Rattus norvegicus: one gene and its partner. The protein of the gene in region 2 purifies or fractionates together with the protein of the main gene of each other region. This does not show direct contact. Links are inferred from orthologs where the notes say so. Each region holds a gene or a part of one and is shown on either strand. Other genes may lie near its edges. The genes, in order: Cdc45 and Topbp1.

Region 1 (3,815 bases), on a different chromosome or scaffold from region 2:
CAAAGACCGTTAGCAAGCAACTCCTACTGTGTCCAGTTTCAAACACACAGCTACCTGTGTATTTCAAGCGAGAACAACCACTCTAGCATTTTCATTTCAAAGCACCTCATGGTTTTTTTTTGCACACGCAGTAGTAGGAATTATGGATAACTTAATTACTTTTCATATTTCTTTCCATGAAAAGTTTTATGCAATCACCAGGTATCTGTTATTTTACTTTAAAGAAGATTATAAATGAAAGCATCCACATTTGAAAAGCAAGTCTGGTAAAGGCCTCGTTCTAACGGAAGAGCCTGGATTTGGGTGACTACTGGGCCTGTCCTATAGTTCTAGGAAGCCAAGGACCAATACATGGGGTGATTCAAGACGGTCTTCGAGGCAACAGCCACGCACTCTCTGCAAAGTGGCTGACCCCAAGACTCCTAGCTACGGGACTGTGGCATTCAGAAAGGATTATGGGTAAGACGCTGATGGACAAAGTCTGGGCTCCTGTACCACAGAGCCACCTCACCAGACTCACCTCCGGGCCTCCCACTCCCTGCGCTGCCTCCTCTTCCTGTTTCGCTCCACTATCTCCTGAAACAGTGACAAACGGAAGAAAAGCGTGGTGGTTAGTGAGGATGGCCTCCGTGTGCTCAAGTGTCTGAGTACTTGGCTCCCAGTTGATGAACTATTTGGGAAGGATTAGGAGGTGTGTCACTGGGGGTGGGCTTGGAGGTTTCTGAAGCTCCGTCTGCTTCCTACTTACAGTTAAGGGGGTAGTAAGCTCTTAGCTATTGTGCCAGGGCTATGTCTACCCGCTGTCCTTCGTGCTCCCTGCCACGAGCTCTAAATTAAATGTTTTCTTTTATAAGTTGTCTTTGTCGCGCTGTTTTGTCACAATAGAAAAGAATCTAAGACAAAAAGGGTAAGCCTGGCGAAGGGCTGGTTTGGAAGAAGCCCCTAGGCACAGATCTCTGAGGGAGAATGTAGGCTTTGTCTATTCTCCAAGTTCAGCCTGTACCTGGGAAGCTGAATAGCTGAGGCAGGGGAAGACTGGTTCATCTGGCTCCAGAACTTGGCGGACACCACCCAGATAGAGAGGAGCACAGGCTTTCCTGGCATGTGCTCCTTGTACGCCCAGCGTCTGGCCACTTTGCCCATCTAGCATCTAAAGTCCCTGTCTGCCACCAGGAAAACAAGAGCTGTGTTTCTTCCTCTTGGGTGTGCCAGCAATGGTTTTAACTTCTTAGGTACAAAGGCATGGGTGCTGTGGTGATTCTACAGTCTATGACCACAAGACTTCCTTCAGGAAGATGGTGCTAAGATATCCCAATGTTGGCTGGACATACTGCGACTCTTACATATATGAAGCTAAGCAATATTGCAAACGCTAAGAGCAAAGGCACAACAGTTAAAGACCTGTATATAGCCTGCGTTCCTTTCTTGGCTTACCTAGACTTGAAACCCAAGAAGCTGCCAATCGGGATAAACCAACAGAAGGAGAACAAAGTCCCCAACCAAAGCTGCCATATCAGTCTGGCCAGAGCTACACAGTGAGACCCTGTCTCAAAAAGAACAAACGAACCAAAACCAAAAATCCCCATAAAAAGTTAAAGGAAGCTCACACAGAATAGACTCAAACCTGTGAGCACTAAAGCAAATAAAAGAGTAGCAATAACAGGTAAGAATACAGCCCCACTAGAGGACAGCCACCATCTACCCGCCTGCCTCCCTTGTGCTAGCAGAAGCTCATGTTGGGCAGATCCCTTCTATTGATCAAATTCAGATCACACACACACACACACACACACACACGCCTTCCTTACAGTGTTTCTGTAGGACTGGCCAAGGGATCAGCCACACATGGTACCTTTCTGTTAACTACAATGAGCGATACTGTGGGAAAGTGGAGGTTTAATGTTTCTCCATGGTGGGTCTGCCCCTGCCTGCTCCCACTGCCACAGGGTTTCTCTGTGTACCCCTGGCTGTCCTGGGATTAGTGATCTGTAGACCAAACTGGCCTTGAACTCAGAAGTCTGCCTGCCTCTCCCTCTAGAGTGCTGGGATCGAAGGCGTGTGCCACCAGATGAGTTTTTCTTTTTTGAACATTTGCTAGTTAATCTTACATCGAGCTAAACTGACCTAAATTTCATTCCCTTTGCCAGGATCCTCCTGTGGAGATAAACCATAGTTCAAATAACTCCAGAAAACTCCAGAGGCCACAATGCTAGTGGGTAGAAGCCAGAGTCTGTTCTAATGTGCACTAACTCCTCCATTTCCCTCTGCTTGGCGTGCCCAGTTGAGCACAGGCCTGGAATGCCACAGCTGGCTCACACACACCTGGAATGCCACAGCTGGCTCACACACACCTGGAATGCCACAGCTGGCTCACACACACCTGGAATGCCACAGCTGGCTGTCACACACCTGTCCTACTTTTGCTTCCTTCAGGATACCCACCTGACCCACTCACCTCTTCTAACCCTTCTAACCGTAAGCGCTTCTCTGAAGGCTCTGCCCCACCATCGTCATTTTCTGAAAGATCTTCTTCATCCTCTGCTTCATCTCTAAAGATGTCATCATAGGCAGGAACTTCGAGGTCATCCTCTTGTTTAATAAGCAATTTGATCTATTATAAAACAAACAAACAAACAAAAAAACCAATGCAGGGGCTGGAGAGATGGCTCAGCGGTTAAGAGCACCCGACTGCTCTTCCAGAGGTCATGAGTTCAATTCCCAGCAACCACATGGTGGCTCACAACCATCTGTAAAGAGATCCGATGCCCTCTTCTGATTTATCTGAAGACAGCTACAGTGTACTTATATATAATAAATAAATAAATCTTAAAACAAAAAAAAAAAAAAACCAATGCAGTTTTTCTTCTCTCCTTTCCAGAAAACCATTCATCATATTGGTTCTGTAGAATCTCACTTTTTCTTAACCAGCTGCTCCCAAGTTTCCCGTGCACACGACAGCAGAGCTCAGGCTGCTTCGCACAGTCCAGTAAGGCACGAGAGCTGTCCCGCATGGCATTATTAAATCATGAGGGTGTCAGATCCCATGGAACTGGGGTTATAGACAGTTAGAAGCTGCCATGTGGGTACTAGGAATTGAACCCAGGTTCACTGAGTCATCTCTCTGCCCCCCCCCCAACATTTCTTTCTTATGCTATACATTAAAAAAAAGAAAAAGTTCTACCAGTTGGCTTTTGATAGAGAATATGAATGTGTTGTTCTGGTTGGATGTCATAATGGTTTATCCCCCAAATGGTCCACCACACCTGAAGCTTGCTGCCTGTGTAGGGTATTGAGGGGGTAGAACCATTAAGAAGTGGAGCCTGGCAAGTGTTAGGTCATCAGGGCTCTCTCCTTACTGATGGAATAACAGCATCTCTCAGAAGTGTGTCGAGCTTCTTCCTTGTGCCACCCGGCTATAAAACTTCATTGGCTTGCTCTGATGTTCCTGTCTTCCCATGGAAATTTCCTCACTATCCTATACACTTCCTCTATGGGGAAACCACTCACTACAGGGGTCTTACTGAGTAGAGCAGATGTTTGCACCATGTTCTTGAATATAACTTTTATCTATAAGGTACCCAGTCTCGGATATTTTCTTATAGAGACACAAATGGATCAAGACCCCTAAGACAATACAATTTTCGTCTCTAATAGCAATTGCTGACTGATTTCTTTTGAAGAGATCCTTCTTTGAGGATCTCAGAGTCTGAAGCCTTGTGGAAAGAGCAGATCACAGAAGGCTTAAACAGCTGGTCTGTGCCACATTTTGTATTAATGCTTTGAGGTTCAGACTAAGTACAGTAGAGCCATCTTCT
Region 2 (3,815 bases):
GCCCAAGGAGCCCAGAAAGAATTGCTACAGGTCAAGGTCATCCCCTTGATCTGTAGTCACAGGCAGTTATGAGCATGTGTGTGCTGGGAACTAAACTTGGATCCTTTAGAGAGGAGCAAGCATTCTTTAACTATACTCTCTCTAGTCCCTTAAAAATATTTAAAATATTTTTACATTTATTTGTGTGTGTGTGTGTGTGTGTGTGTGTGTGTACATATGTGACACAGTGAGTTTATGTGGAGGTTAACAGGAGCTAGCTCTCTTCTTCCTCCTTGTGGAGCTACACAGTGAGACCTTGTCTTAAAAACAAACCAACTAACCAAGAGAGCCTTTTAGTCGCAAATGACTTGGCACGGAGTAAGATTCTATAATCTAAAACACAACCTGCTCTGTTAGGGAAAAGCCACTTTTCTCAGAATTCAACATTACCTCAAGGAAAACACAGAGTAAGACAAATGAAGTCAGCAGGCACCAGAACTCTACCGTACAGTTAGAGATCTGTCTTCTAGTAGGAAAATGCTATTGGTGGATCCAACACTTGGTAAACTGACATAAAAGACACCAAGTTTAAAGCCCACTTTGGCTACACAGCAATACAGAACGAGGGTGAAAGGTGGTCCAGAGGGGGAGGGGTGGTCTAATTCCAGCAGTTGGCAGGTTAAAGCAGGAGAACTGGGAGTTTAGAGCTAACACTAGTTACACAGTATTGCAGGCCAGACTACGATAAAACCTTGCCTCAAAAATATAAAGACAGAGAAAATACAGTTATATCTCCGAGCTGAAGTTATACTGCACTCAGAACTGTGGTCATCTTTCCTAAAACACAGATTTTAAAAAGTACATACAATTTAAATAAGAAATAAAAAGGAAGGAAAGGACGGCTGGAGACCTAGGTTCATATGTCCAATCCCTAGGAGCCGCTAGGGGTGAAAGGAGCTGACATCACAGGTCATCCTTTGACCTTGACATGGGTACTGTGGCATGCATGTCTCCATGAGCACACAGCACACACTCAAACACACGATAATCCTAAGTCACATACTTCAGTCAGAACTGCGCAGTGGCCTAAGCGAGAGAGAACACAGAAGACAACTGAGCAGCAACACACAAACCCAGAAGGCAGCGGGATAAAGCACGCTGCGTAGTTAAATAAAGCACCGGCATAAACTCCTTAATAGTCCAACTTCTGCTTCATTTTAAAATAAAAAAATAAAAATTAAAGTCCTGTGTGGTGGTACAAACCTTTCAGTCCTAGCACTTGGGAGGCAGAGGCGGATAGATCTCTGAGTTCAAGGCCAGCCTGAGGGGAAAAAAAGCCTAACCCGAACCCCAAGTCACCAGGGGTTTTCATCCAAGTGAGCCGCCACCACACGAACCTGAGCGCCTCCAAGACTCGGCTTCGTCCACTCCGAGCAGAGCGAGTGCTGTCAGGAGTTGAAGAGGCGCTGTTACAACTACTTCTTGACATGCAAGTCTTCTGGGCTGGTGTCCTCACGATGGAGGTTGCTGACATGATCTCTTGTAGTTGTTTCTGGAAGTTCTCTCTCATCTCCAAGGCCTGGGTCAGAGCTTGAAAGACAGTCAGTCGTCAATAACAATCAAGAGAAGTGTGTCCCCTCCTCTCCTTCTTCTCCCTCCCCCTGGCTGGATTTTGAAGATAGGATCTGAGTGTGGGGTTAGGCTGATCTCCCTCCCCATTGTGATCCCTGCCACAGTCTCTAGAGTTCTGGGATTTCAGACATGCATTACCATACAGTTACAAACGTCTCTTGTCAATCATATCTTAACTATTTTGTCTAGATCTGGTTAAATAAAAACAAAGTTGCCATTTACTGAATATTTATATAGGAATGCAAGGCTAAAATGTCACAAAACACAAAGGCAATCCTGAGGACTGTATCTGAAATACTGAAGACTGCCTTGGCTCAGTCCCTCTGAGTAGTGCCCTGCTTGCTTCTGATCCCTTCTCATTGATGCATACTACAAAGAGTCATATAGTCATTTGTATGTACCTGATTTTTTTCAATAGCTCTGAGGTTTATTTGCTTTGGGGGATGGGTCTTGCCATAGCTCAGACTGGTCTTGAAGGCCGGCTCCTCCTGCCTCAGCATCAAGAATAGGATTAGTGCTGTAAAGCACTGCCCAAGCTTTCACTAATCCCTCTTTGTCTTTCCTTTCCACTACAGACTAGACATTCAAGTAGATACCAAGTAGGAATGTTTGACACGAACAGAATGGAACAGGTAAGTGAGAAAGCAAGTTCTAATAGGCAGGCTGAATAAGGAAGCCAGAGAGTAACCTGTCAGAAGAGAACCCACACATCTAAATAAGGTAATCAGTGCAGCGCTATCTGTATTAGTAAGAAATTCAAAATAACTTGCTAATGCAAGAAACAGCAAAATAAAGCACAAGCCACACACTAAACCACCAAACAAAACCCAAGACTGAAGCAGCTCCCGATTCCCAGACATGGTCTATGGCTTCGGTGCACACCCTCCTGTGTGTGGAGTGCTGTCAACTCCTAAGAGATGAGGCCTAGCCTAAGGTAGCTGGGTCATGAGGAACACTGCCTGCCCCAGAAGCAATTAGTGCAGTTTTCAGGGGCCTCAGGCTGGTTTTGTTGTAGGTTGCTCCGCTGGTCTACCCTGCTTGCAGTCTTTCTTGTGATGACACTCACCCACTTGCACTCTTTCCCTTCCTGATAAACTCTCCTGACATACCAGAAGGTCTTCATCAGAGTCCAAGCAAGCTTAGACTTTCATTTTCTAAAGCTGTTAGAGCTAAAAACGTACCCTTTATCTAGGTTACCCCAGGTGTAGTTCTACAGCAACAGAAAACACTGAAACATTGCTCTTTTTTAGAAAAAAAAAGAAAAGAAAAGAAAAGGCTGTGAACCATGTATTAACAACTGTCCAAGTCTTCCAAATGATTCTGTTGGTCGGTCGCCTGTAGCCAGTGACCACTGATGTTGCTACTGTGTGCCCCACACCTACACAAGTGGCACACCTGACTGGCTGCTCCCCATCTCTTTCCTTCCTACGACTTCCTCAACCCCCAAGAAACAACAGTACTAAAACTAGCTTAATTAACATCCAGTGGCTTAAGTGCCAGGCGAAAAGAGTCACACTCCTCTCTTTAGCTCTAAATGACCAAGGTGAGTGAAAAAGGGATGTATGAAAGCCAAGTTAGGTCAAAGGCTATGCCTCTTATGCTGAACAGTCAAGCTGTGAATGCAAAGAGAAAATTCTCAGAAGAAATTCACAGTGCTACTCCAGCGAGCACACAGCTTCTCATGGACACGAGGCTGCAACTGACTGCCCTAAGCAGATGACTCAGACCGGAAGAAGATGCCTCTCCAGGGCTATTGGAGAAGTCGGTGTCTGGCTTCAAAGCTAGACGGCCAACCCAGTTCTTCTATTAGCGGCAAAATGCACGTGGGACTTCAAGTCAAAACCAACAAGTGGAAAGTGCGTTTGGCTTGTGGTGCAGGTCTTTAATCCAGCACTTGGAAGAAAGAGGACGGTGATCTCTGGGTTTGAAGCCAGCCTGGTCTAGAGTCAGCTCCAGAAGCACTCAGAGAAGCCTTGTCTTTGGAGGGCGTGGCATGGGCATGAGGGGTAAACAAGTGCCTCTCACCTCCTTTGCAGTCGTCCCTTCCATTCCCATTCAGCAGAGCGGACTCTCTGCTGTGTGTGCCCAAAGTCTCTGTTGCATTTTCTTCTACAGACAGGTGATCTGGCTATTCAAAGAGAAAAATGACAACTTCTCAAACAATGGTCACTGCATAAAGACGGCTACATCCAGCTTAGGAGGGG

The links.
Region 1: the proteins of Topbp1 (region 2) and Cdc45 purify together in Homo sapiens (affinity purification with western blotting; 3 studies listed by BioGRID and IntAct, with this or other methods). This does not show direct contact. The link is inferred for Rattus norvegicus from reciprocal best matches to the Homo sapiens genes TOPBP1 and CDC45.

What each region holds. Positions count from the first base shown.
Region 1 is NC_086029.1:95,692,994-95,696,808, reverse strand, and holds part of Cdc45 (cell division control protein 45 homolog), read right to left. Parts: intron 2,612-3,815; coding exon 2,456-2,611; intron 577-2,455; coding exon 521-576; intron 1-520. UniProt on the Homo sapiens protein: Required for initiation of chromosomal DNA replication. Core component of CDC45-MCM-GINS (CMG) helicase, the molecular machine that unwinds template DNA during replication, and around which the replisome is built.
Region 2 is NC_086026.1:112,794,008-112,797,822, reverse strand, and holds part of Topbp1 (DNA topoisomerase 2-binding protein 1), read right to left. Parts: intron 3,740-3,815; coding exon 3,637-3,739; intron 2,100-3,636; coding exon of another isoform or gene 2,023-2,099; exon of another isoform or gene 2,013-2,022; intron 1,570-2,012; coding exon 1,377-1,569; intron 1-1,376. UniProt on the Homo sapiens protein: Scaffold protein that acts as a key protein-protein adapter in DNA replication and DNA repair. Composed of multiple BRCT domains, which specifically recognize and bind phosphorylated proteins, bringing proteins together into functional combinations.